2 linked regions of the Mus musculus genome follow. The protein of the gene in region 1 purifies or fractionates together with the protein of each later gene. This does not show direct contact. Links are inferred from orthologs where the notes say so. Each region holds a gene or a part of one and is shown in the gene's direction. Other genes may lie near its edges.

Evidence for each region. Proteins that work in one complex are often made in the same cells at the same time.
Region 2: the proteins of Hdac6 (region 1) and Hsp90ab1 purify together in Homo sapiens (affinity purification with mass spectrometry, with the first as the bait; 4 studies listed by BioGRID). This does not show direct contact. The link is inferred for Mus musculus from reciprocal best matches to the Homo sapiens genes HDAC6 and HSP90AB1.

The regions. Positions count from the first base shown.
Region 1 is NC_000086.7:7,944,905-7,950,087, reverse strand, and holds the start of Hdac6 (histone deacetylase 6), read left to right. Parts: upstream 1-2,198; 5' UTR 2,199-2,438; exon of another isoform or gene 2,439-2,513; intron 2,514-2,843; 5' UTR 2,844-2,873; coding exon 2,874-2,963; intron 2,964-3,056; coding exon 3,057-3,185; intron 3,186-3,336; coding exon 3,337-3,425; intron 3,426-5,183.
Region 2 is NC_000083.6:45,569,901-45,574,918, reverse strand, and holds the start of Hsp90ab1 (heat shock protein HSP 90-beta), read left to right. Parts: upstream 1-1,657; 5' UTR 1,658-1,752; intron 1,753-3,007; coding exon 3,008-3,154; intron 3,155-3,299; coding exon 3,300-3,506; intron 3,507-3,741; coding exon 3,742-3,901; intron 3,902-4,119; coding exon 4,120-4,253; intron 4,254-4,352; coding exon 4,353-4,661; intron 4,662-5,018. UniProt on the Homo sapiens protein: Molecular chaperone that promotes the maturation, structural maintenance and proper regulation of specific target proteins involved for instance in cell cycle control and signal transduction. Undergoes a functional cycle linked to its ATPase activity.

The DNA.
Region 1 (5,183 bases):
CAAATGGTTGGCTGGGTGGTGGTGGCGCATGCCTTTAACCCCAGCACTTGGGAGGGAGAGGCAGGCAGATTTCTGAGTTCGAGGCCAGCCTGGTCTACAAAGTGAGTTCCAGGACAGCCAGGGATATACAGAAAAACCCTGTCTCAAAAACAAACAAACAAACAACAAAAAATACCAAACAAACAAACAAAAAACCCCAAATGGTTGTTAAGCTGGGCAGTGCTGGCACATTCCTTTAATCCCAGCACTTGAGAGGCAGAGGCAGGTGAATTTCTGAGTTCGAGGCCAGCCTGGTCTATAAAGTGAGTTCCAGGACAGCCAGGGATATACAAAGAAACCCTGTCTCAAAAAAAAAAAAAAAAAAAAAAAAAAAAAAAAAAAAACCAACCAACCAAACAAACAAAAAAACCAAATGGTTATTAAGCTGGGCAGTGCTGGCACATTCCTTTAATCCCAGCACTCGGGAGGCAGAGGCAGGTGGATTTCTGAGTTCAAGGCCAGCCTGGTCTACAGAGTGAGTTCCAGGACAGCCAGGGCTACACAGAGAAACCCTGTCTCGAAAATCCAAAAAGAAAAACCAAAACAAACAAAAAACCCAAATGACTGTTGCTGTTTTGTTTGTTTGTTTAAGAAAGATTAACTGGGCACAGTGTTGCCCAGCTGCTCAGAAAGCTGAGACATGAAGATCCCTTGAGGCCAGAAGTTCTAAGCAGCCTGGACATGAAAGCAAGGTCATTTTTAAAAGAAAGGAAGTGTATCATAAAGATTAGATGTGGATGCAAAGCCTAAGCTATTTGCAATCTTAGCTTTTATAAGGTTTACTGAGCCCCGTTGTGCAGGAACCGTCTCTATTGTTCGGCTGGCGGGCATCACCATCCTAGAATGTTTTTAGGTATTATTATTATTTTCTTTAGTGTGTGTAGATTTAGATAGCCCGTGCTGAGAACATGTTCTGTGCTGAGAACATGGAGGACTGAAACTGGCATTTGCAAGAGGTTCAGAGGGTCTGGCTGCTGGAGTATGGAACTGTCAATCTATTTGCTAGTCAGTGATGCAGAACTCCAGATGGATTCTTTCTGGTCTCTGCCAACAGGTCCTTAGGAAACGATGTCCTTGACATGGGGAGATCAGGACAACTCGGCCACCTGTGGGATTTATACTTAGAAGGGATGGCCATCTCAAAGAGTCACAGGGACAATTTTCCTTCCTCGGTCCACCACATGCTGTAAGTTTGATGACTCGGTGGAGGGGGACAGGTAGGCTGAGCTCCCATTCAGGAGACACTGTCCTTCGAAAGTCCATTCTGGCCTTGGTACTAGCATCTCAATTTTCCAGGTAAGGAAACAGGACAGAACTGTGACCTGTCCAAGATCTAAATCTAAGTCCCCGTGTGTGTAGTCTACAGAGCAGCTTTACAATGCAAACTACCTCACGAAAGTCGGGCTTTCTGACATAGTGAGCAGCCCCACCCCTGCCTCACCTCGTAGAGACTCCTTCCAGTCCCCATTTCCGCTGCAGAACATTAATAGCTAACATTTGGGGATGCTTCTTGAATACCATCGCAGTGGCCACCAGCTCAGAAACTTATCAGCATTTACTATCACGCTCATTTTGGCTGCCACCAGCCAAAGTCTATTATTAGCGTTTATCTCCAACTAGTCACCCGCAGGCGCGAGTTACGTCAACGCCAAAAGCAGCTCGGGAATCTAGCTTCTTTGATTTGTTCTCGAATCACTGCACAACACAACTGATGTGGATCCGTAGGTCTCCTAGGATGACTAGCCTGGACTTGAGACTGGCAGCCATAGCCAGTCAGAACGACCGCAGCGGCGAATGCGGGGGTGGGGTGTGCGTGCGTGTGTGTGGGGAGGGGTGGTAGCGCTAGGGGCAGATCCGGGTCTCGAACTAGGGAGTAGCACCCCACGCAGGCGCAGTATGATCAGTTTCCATGGCCAAGCTCGCGAGAGGTGTGGTTTGCGCCTGAAGCGTTGTGGGCGGACTGAATCCATGTTGGGGGCTGGACGTGGGCGGGCAAATGAAAAAGCTCAGCCCAATGGAAAAGAAGGGATCAGGTGCCCGGGGCCACACAGGTCGCCGGGAATTTGGCGGCGTGAGCCTAGGGCGGAGTTTGAAAAGGAGGCAGAGCTCAGTGAGTAGGGACGGAAGGATTGGCCAGCGTCGGTGGCTGGGCGGGAGATGGGCGGAGGCTTGGAAGGGGCTGAGGGAGCCTGGTTAAACGGTAGGCGTCTGGGAAGGGGGTGGGGTCTGAAGGATTCTGATCGAAAGGGGCAGTCCTCGGAGCAGCGGGGCACGGGGAAAGCTCGGGGCGAGATCTGCGCGAGTGGAAGGCGCTGGTTCGGCCCTGCAGGAGGTGGAGTTGAGTGAGTCTTTAAAGGTGCTGCCGAGGCCGCGGCAGCCCGGTCTGGCGGACTAGAAAGGTGGGTGATTTTTCTGGGGAAATAGGCTGAAGCGGGCAGGTTGCAGAAGCCAAGCGTTCCGGGCGCAGATTAGAGGTATGAAAGGATGTGGGAAGTGGATGGGGGGGGGGCGGTGATTGGGTAGGGCAGGCCTAAGAAGAGCCTGATTGAGCCTGGGGTTACCTCGTTTAGTGAATAGGCAAAATGAGGAAAGAGAATCGGATAAAAGCAGCGAGGTCCAGGGGGACCGGACAGGACCAGGTTTCCTCTAGCAGAAGATGGCCTGGGGGGTGGGGGCGGTTTAGAAGGCTCGGGAATGGACCCGGTGAAGGCTGCGATCTAGACTAGGGGGCGGGGCCGAGGAAGGGACAGGGATGTGGGGTCCTCTGGACACTCCAGCTGCCTCACCAACTACACCTTTGCTAGAGCCTTTCCAGGAGCTGAGGCTCTTCAGCCATGACCTCCACCGGCCAAGATTCTTCTACTAGACAGCGAAAGAGTAGGCACAATCCCCAGTCACCCCTTCAGGAATCCAGCGCCACCTTGGTGAGGCCCCAGACCTGCCCTGATGGGGGGGGGGGGTGGAGGGTGAAGCCAGCCAGCCATGTCCAGACTCTGATTTTTCTGTCTGATTGGCAGAAGCGTGGTGGAAAGAAGTGTGCTGTACCCCACTCCAGCCCCAATCTAGCGGAGGTAAAGAAGAAAGGCAAAATGAAGAAGCTGAGCCAACCAGCTGAAGAGGACCTAGTTGTGGGGCTTCAAGGGCTGGTGAGAGAGACCTGGCTGCAACTTGGCCTTCTTTACCAAACAAAACAGTGATTCCCCCCCCTCCCCCCCCCCATCCAGGACCGATGGTATGAAGTGTTTTCTCTGATTGTAGTCCAGAGTGAATCTGGGTTTCTTTTCTTTGCCCCTGCAGGATCTGAACCCTGAGACAAGAGTGCCAGTTGGTACTGGATTGGTGTTTGATGAACAACTAAATGACTTCCATTGCCTTTGGGATGACAGGTGGGTGAGGCTGGCACCTCCAAATGATCCCCAAACTAGAACATTTCCACAAGTGCCCCTTTCTTCTCACAAACAAGAGTGAATTTTTGCTGCTTCTAGCCTGTAGTCTGGAAGCAGGTGATTTAGGGAGATGGGGATCATTCTTGAAAGATTTCTCTGTTAAGCCAATAAACAGTTATCAAGAGTCTCCTGTGTGCCGAGACTTAGTGATAGATGTGAGCAATAGAAAAGTCCCTTCTCCGCTGGCCGGTGAGTGTGCAGGGAGATCATTAAACCCCCAACAGCGGTATAAACTGTTCAATGAAGACCAAATGACTGGGCACTCCAGGTCTCTGTAGCCTAGGCAGCCTGGAACTCACTATGTAGTCTATGTCAGCCTCAAACCTTTGATAAGCCTCCTGTCTTAGCCTCTCGAGTGCTCAGATTTCCCAAACGAGCCACTACACTTGGCTAGACGTTAGATTGTTAGAGGGTCCTCGCCTAACTAGCAGGAGCCGTCCTTGAGAAGGAGACATGTATGCTGAAAAAACCTCTTATTTGCGCTCTACTTCTTAAAGAAATCTGTTTATTCTTTTTGGCCCTATCTTTAAAATAGATTCGCTATCTGACTTCTTCCCCCTGGTCCCCTGCTTCCAGCCTTCGCATTAAAGCCTAAAAAATACATTTGAGATGACGTTTCCTTCCTTTCTTAAAATACTTCAAGGCCAGAACTTTGCTCTTAAGGTAAAGTCGGCATTCTTTAGACTGGCCTCTAAGGTTGCACAGGATTTGGCCTTTGTGACCTGTTCAGCCAGGCCTCTCCTCACGAGCTCCAGGTCACTTAACGCACGCTGGCCACCTTCTCGTCTTTCAGTGTGCCAGTCACCCTCTCGCCTTGGGTCTTTACCCTTGACTGATTCCTCTTTGAACTTTCACAACTATGGAGACTCACAGAAGCCTTTGACTGGCCACTACCTCTCTCACATCTGTTCTTAGCTATTTTACTAGCCTCTGCCATTGTCTGTTAATCATTACACTGATATTTGCAAATATAGTAGCCGTCTTCCCCCATCCCGACCTAAAACTAACTCATGATGTCAAGAGGCTTTCTTTATGGTACATTTGTTGAGGCTATAGCCGTAAACAAAGCTGCCTTCAAAAGTAACCAAGAGGTGACCTCTCCAGTGTTAGAGTGGAGGAGCTCAGGTGGGAGGGAGAGTGAGGTTTGACTGGAAGGGGTGCTTCCCTTTGGAATACAATAGCTAGGGGGTATTGCTAACATTTGAGCAAAGATACAGAGGGTTGGAGGAGGCTAAAGGACTGAGCCGTGAGTCATCACTGAAAAGACTTCCAGGCGTGAGAGACCGTTGAAGTCCTCAGGCCTAGCTGAAGACAATGTGGTTTCGTTGAAGAGCAAGGAACACATTGCAGGGAAACAAGGTGAAAGAGGAGGGGTGTGGTAAGAAAGACAGAGTCAGAATAGGGATGGGAACAGATTCGGGTTTTCTTAGGCCCTTCTCGGTGTGATGAGAAGTTTGGCTTCTACCGGGAACATAGTCGGAGCTACAAAAGGGTTTTGAGTAGTAGAATTCTAACCACTGGCTGGCTCAGTATACAGGAGGGGCTGTTGGGGGAATAAGTATAGAAGCAGAGAGGGGTTCTCATAAAGATGATGGAGCAGACAGCTCAGACTGGAGGTTCCAACAGCGTGAATGGTAGCGGAGAAAACAAGTATAAAGACTTCAGAAATGACAAAGAAAGGCTGATGTTGCCGGTAAG
Region 2 (5,018 bases), on another chromosome or scaffold:
TGATTTCTTTATGGGCTTCACACACACACACACACACACACACACACACACACACACACACACACAGAATTAAGGAGAGGCTAACAGACAGTGCAGGATGGGATGATAACAGACGAAGTAGACAGAGGCAAGGAGAAAGCAACTACTGTTTAACAATGAATGCACATTAGACAGACTGCAGGCAAGCACCGGGAACAAAGGTGTGGGCGGTGGTGTGGGGACACAAGCCAGCATGAGCTAAGATAGCAGAGCACTGAGTGCCCATCCTCTACTGGAGGGCTCATCAGTCCAACAAGCTTCCAGATGCAGCCTTGGAAAAAGGCAAGGCTAGATTGCCAGCTGAAGGACATGGCAGGCCACCTTTAGAACAGAGGCACTGGCACAACTTGGTTTTCTGGCTCCTGGAACTGGGCCAACCTGTGACCAGCACCTTCATGCGGATGCCTAGAACTCCAGCTTCTCTGAAAAGACTGGGACCTGCTCCTCTCTAGGTCCAAAGAGCTGCATGCAGTAGGGAAGAGGCTAGAGAAGCGAAACCAGCTTGAGAAACAGCTTGTGCTCACATAGGGAGGGCGCACGTACCCGCGCGCTGTGTACGTGGGAGACCGGGGAGGCTGAGGGGTGGGGAGTGTTCTACCCAGTAGCGCAAGCTGCTAGCTCGGTTCTCTGTTCACTAGAAGGTGTCCGCAGTCACTCACCCCCACAGCCCCCGTGCCCTGTGACCGATCCAGGTCAGCTATCCCTCCCTCTGCGCTCCACTCCCCCACTGTTATGTGGGCCTCTTAGGGCCACGCGTGGAGGGTCGTTCAACCCTGGCCCACGGTAGGCAGACTTGGGGAAAATTTCTTCCCAGGGTAAGATCAAGGTAGGGGAAAAAAAAAAAAAAAAAAAGCCACCCAGCCAAGCGGCGACGAAGACACTGCCCCCGCCGCAGCAGGGGAGGTGGAGCCTAGGGGGGAGGGGTGGAGACCGCCGAGACAGGCCTAGAAACTGCTGGAAGAAATCGCAGCACCACCGCTGCTGATCCTTCCGCCGCAGGCCGCCAAAGAGTCCCTACCAGCCCAGGCCCGTGCCCCTCCCCTCGGGGAAAGCGGCTCCCAGCCTGAAGCTGTGCTGTACCCGGGAGGGTGGGGATGGGGGAATCGGGGGCCTCCTTAAAGTTGGACAAGGAATTTATCATCCTTTTCTCTTGATGTGCGATTTGTAGGGAACATTCTAGTAAGATCGGGTCTGGAAATGGCAGCCGAGTTGGCCACCTCCATTCTCTTTCAGTCCCCTGAGTTCTGGACTCTTGGGGGGTGGGGGGGTGGAAGCGCCTACCTTGAGTTTTCTGAGGCAGTCCGTAGGGTATTCGCCCGCAGATACATCCCTAATTGCATATGCATGCTCCCTGCTCATCTTGAGGGGGGACATGTCCTACTCCTGCAGAAATGGGGGATGTGCAAAACGATATTGAATTGGCCTTGACTCAGGAACCAGGCCCGGGGTCCCGCTCCTCCCCGCCCCCTCCACGATCTGCTACCATGACGTCAAGGTGGGCGGGCGGCGGCAGGTGCGTGGCCCGCAGCCACTCCTTTAAGGCGGAGGGATCCAAGGGCGGGGCCCGGGCTGTGCTTCGCCTTATATAGGGCGGTCGGGGGCGTTCGGGAGCTCTCTTGAGTCACCCCCGCGCAGCCTAGGCTTGCCGTGCGAGTCGGACTTGGTCCGGGCCCACCACCCTGCTCTGTACTACTACTCGGCTTTCCCGTCAAGGTAAGGCCGGGGTCTCTCGTCCCCGGCGGCTCTCCGGGGGCTTCTTCCCGGGGTCCCAGCCTCCATCTCATCTGTCCCAAAGCCTCCTTCCCCGGCGGGGCAGCCTGTGGAGATAACGTGTCTAGAGGTTAGAGGTTCGGGCTGTACCCCGGCGGGCTTGCACGCGAGGCTCCCCGGGGCGGGTGGATTCCCCGGAGCGTGGGGTGGGGGTGCGGCCCGGCCAGGTGGTGGGCGGCCGCACGTGGTAGTCGCCGACCCGGGACGCTGCCATGTTTGCCCTCCACTTCCGGGCGCGGCTGCAGGGTCCGCGCGGTGGCGGGCTGCTCTGCGTGACTCAGCAAGGCCTGGGGAGGTTGGCCTGGCTGCCTCCCCCGGACGCCGCCGGTACCAACGTGCTTGATTTTGGGGAGGGGTGCACAGCAGGGACGCCGGAACCCACCGCGCTTTCCCTTTCCAGATCTTTCTGCCCTCCCAGTGGAGGGCGGGGGAGGAGAGACAGAGCAGGCACGAGAAGATTCCTAGGTCCCTCCCTTTCTCCTCCCCTCCCCGGAGCTCAGATTGTTCTGGAAGCCTGGGCGCCCCGCCCCAGTGCCCGGATGCTGGGGCGGTGGGAGGGTTTCAATGGCGCCCCCTCCCCGTGTGGCTCCTGCCGACGCATGTCCGGCAGTGACGAGGGTCGTTGGACGGCTGGGCCACCATTTTACTTGGGTTCCGGCCTATGCAAGTCTGCACAGTGAGTGGTCACGGTGGAGCTCTTGATTTCTTTGTCCTGATTTAATTGCCCCGTGAGCGCCTCCCAGACTACAGCTTCAAGGTTCTCTTGCCCTGCTGGGTGGAATAAAATAAAAATTAAAAAAGACTGCTTTTTCTGTTAAAGTTGTTCCTCACCCCAATGAGGAGATTGTAGTTAAGGGGTGTGAGTACCAGGGGTTGCTTGAGGTTCTTTTTTATGTATTGTTAACTTAGTCTGGATTTTTACCATATTGCCAGGTGTTCTGTTCAGAGTCAGTGAGCTATGCACTGAACATGCCAATGTTCAAGAGTTTGACTTTTGGGCATCTGTTCTGGAAAACCCATCTTTTAGGTTTTTTTCTGTCATTTTTGTCTTGGCCATTGTAGCTTAAATGTCCTTTTTTAAAGAAAATGGCTGCTCTTGTCTCTTTGGGTTGGATACTTTCCCAGACTAAAGAAGTTTGAGCTGGATATTAAAATGTGTGTCTATAATGGTCCTTAGTAGTAATTCTTTCATTCTTAGATGCCTGAGGAAGTGCACCATGGAGAGGAGGAGGTGGAGACCTTTGCCTTTCAGGCAGAAATTGCCCAGCTCATGTCCCTCATCATCAACACTTTCTATTCAAACAAGGAGATTTTCCTCCGCGAGTTGATCTCTAATGCTTCAGATGTGAGTATTCTGTTGTTGAATTTCTAAGGCTTCACGGAAGTGTGTGTGTGTGTGGGAGTGATTGAGAAGAACAGTTCAGTTGATGTTGAAGGGGGAGGGACTGTTTGGAAAAATAAAATAATCTGGCTTTTTGCGTTTACTACAGGCCCTGGACAAGATTCGATATGAGAGCCTGACGGACCCTTCTAAGTTGGACAGTGGGAAAGAGCTGAAAATTGACATCATCCCCAACCCTCAGGAGCGCACGCTGACTTTGGTGGACACAGGCATTGGCATGACCAAGGCTGACCTCATTAATAACCTGGGAACCATTGCTAAGTCTGGCACGAAGGCGTTCATGGAGGCTCTCCAGGTGTGTGGCCTTTCATCCACACCGTCCTCTAATTTGTTACTGCTTAAGTTAAAATTTGTCTGTCTAGGGTATTACATATTAGGACACTTATTAGAAAAAAAGTACAAGTGGTTGGTCAGGACAGCTTTGACCCCTAGATCTCTGGACATTGAACTGATTGTTACCTTGCGCAGCAGATGGTTATACTTGGCCAAGAACCATGTTGCTGATCCTCTTTACTTCAAACCCTTTGCAGGCTGGTGCAGACATCTCCATGATCGGGCAGTTTGGTGTCGGATTCTACTCGGCCTATCTAGTTGCAGAGAAAGTGGTTGTGATCACGAAGCACAATGATGATGAGCAGTATGCCTGGGAGTCGTCTGCGGGTGGCTCCTTCACCGTCCGGGCAGACCATGGTGAGGCAGCAGGCTACATTGTGGGGAAACCTTAGACGTTGTATTCTATAAAAGTACATTTTAAGGGGTGGTGAGTGCCAGCACTTGGGTGAGTTCTTAAGGCAAGCAAAGGGGCTACACAGGAATCTTAGCTTGCTTGAGAAACCAGGAACGAAAAAAGCGTAGTTCGTTCTTGTATTTTAGTTTCAGTTTTTCATGTCTTGATTTGTTCTCTGTAGGTGAGCCCATTGGCCGGGGTACCAAAGTGATCCTTCACCTCAAAGAAGACCAGACAGAGTACTTGGAGGAGAGGAGGGTCAAGGAAGTGGTGAAGAAACATTCGCAGTTCATAGGCTATCCCATCACCCTCTATGTGAGTATGGGCTTGGCAGTGTTGGAGCAGGCTAATGGCACTGGGCCTTGCTGGTGCTACATTCTCCACAATTAATTACATGTGTCATTGGTGATTTAGTTGGAGAAGGAACGGGAGAAGGAGATCAGTGATGATGAGGCAGAGGAAGAGAAAGGTGAGAAAGAGGAGGAAGATAAGGAGGATGAGGAGAAGCCTAAGATTGAAGATGTGGGATCCGATGAGGAAGATGACAGCGGCAAAGACAAGAAAAAGAAAACAAAGAAGATCAAAGAGAAGTACATTGACCAGGAGGAGCTGAACAAGACAAAGCCTATCTGGACCAGAAACCCGGATGACATCACGCAGGAGGAGTATGGCGAATTCTATAAGAGCCTCACCAATGACTGGGAGGACCACTTGGCAGTCAAGGTGAGAAGCCTTCCTCTGTTGTGTAAGGCAGGGTAGGTAGGCAGAAGCTGGAGGTGGTAAGGAATAACTGGCTCGACTGGTTGGTAGCTGGGACCTGAAAGCCACAGAAAAGAACCATGTGACAACACTGGAGCTACTCAGAGCTAACAGTGGTTTCACATTCTCTTTCTGGTGGGAATCAGGGTGTCAGCCATATCTGACACTGGATTACTCTTCTCAATCACTCCCACTGTCATGGCCACCACCCTGATTACAGCCAGGGTTCTGCTTGGCGGGATAATTCTTGCTACCAGCATGCTGGGTTTATTTGTGATTAGGGCTGCTTTCCTATTCATAGGGTTCAGCAGTACAGCATTC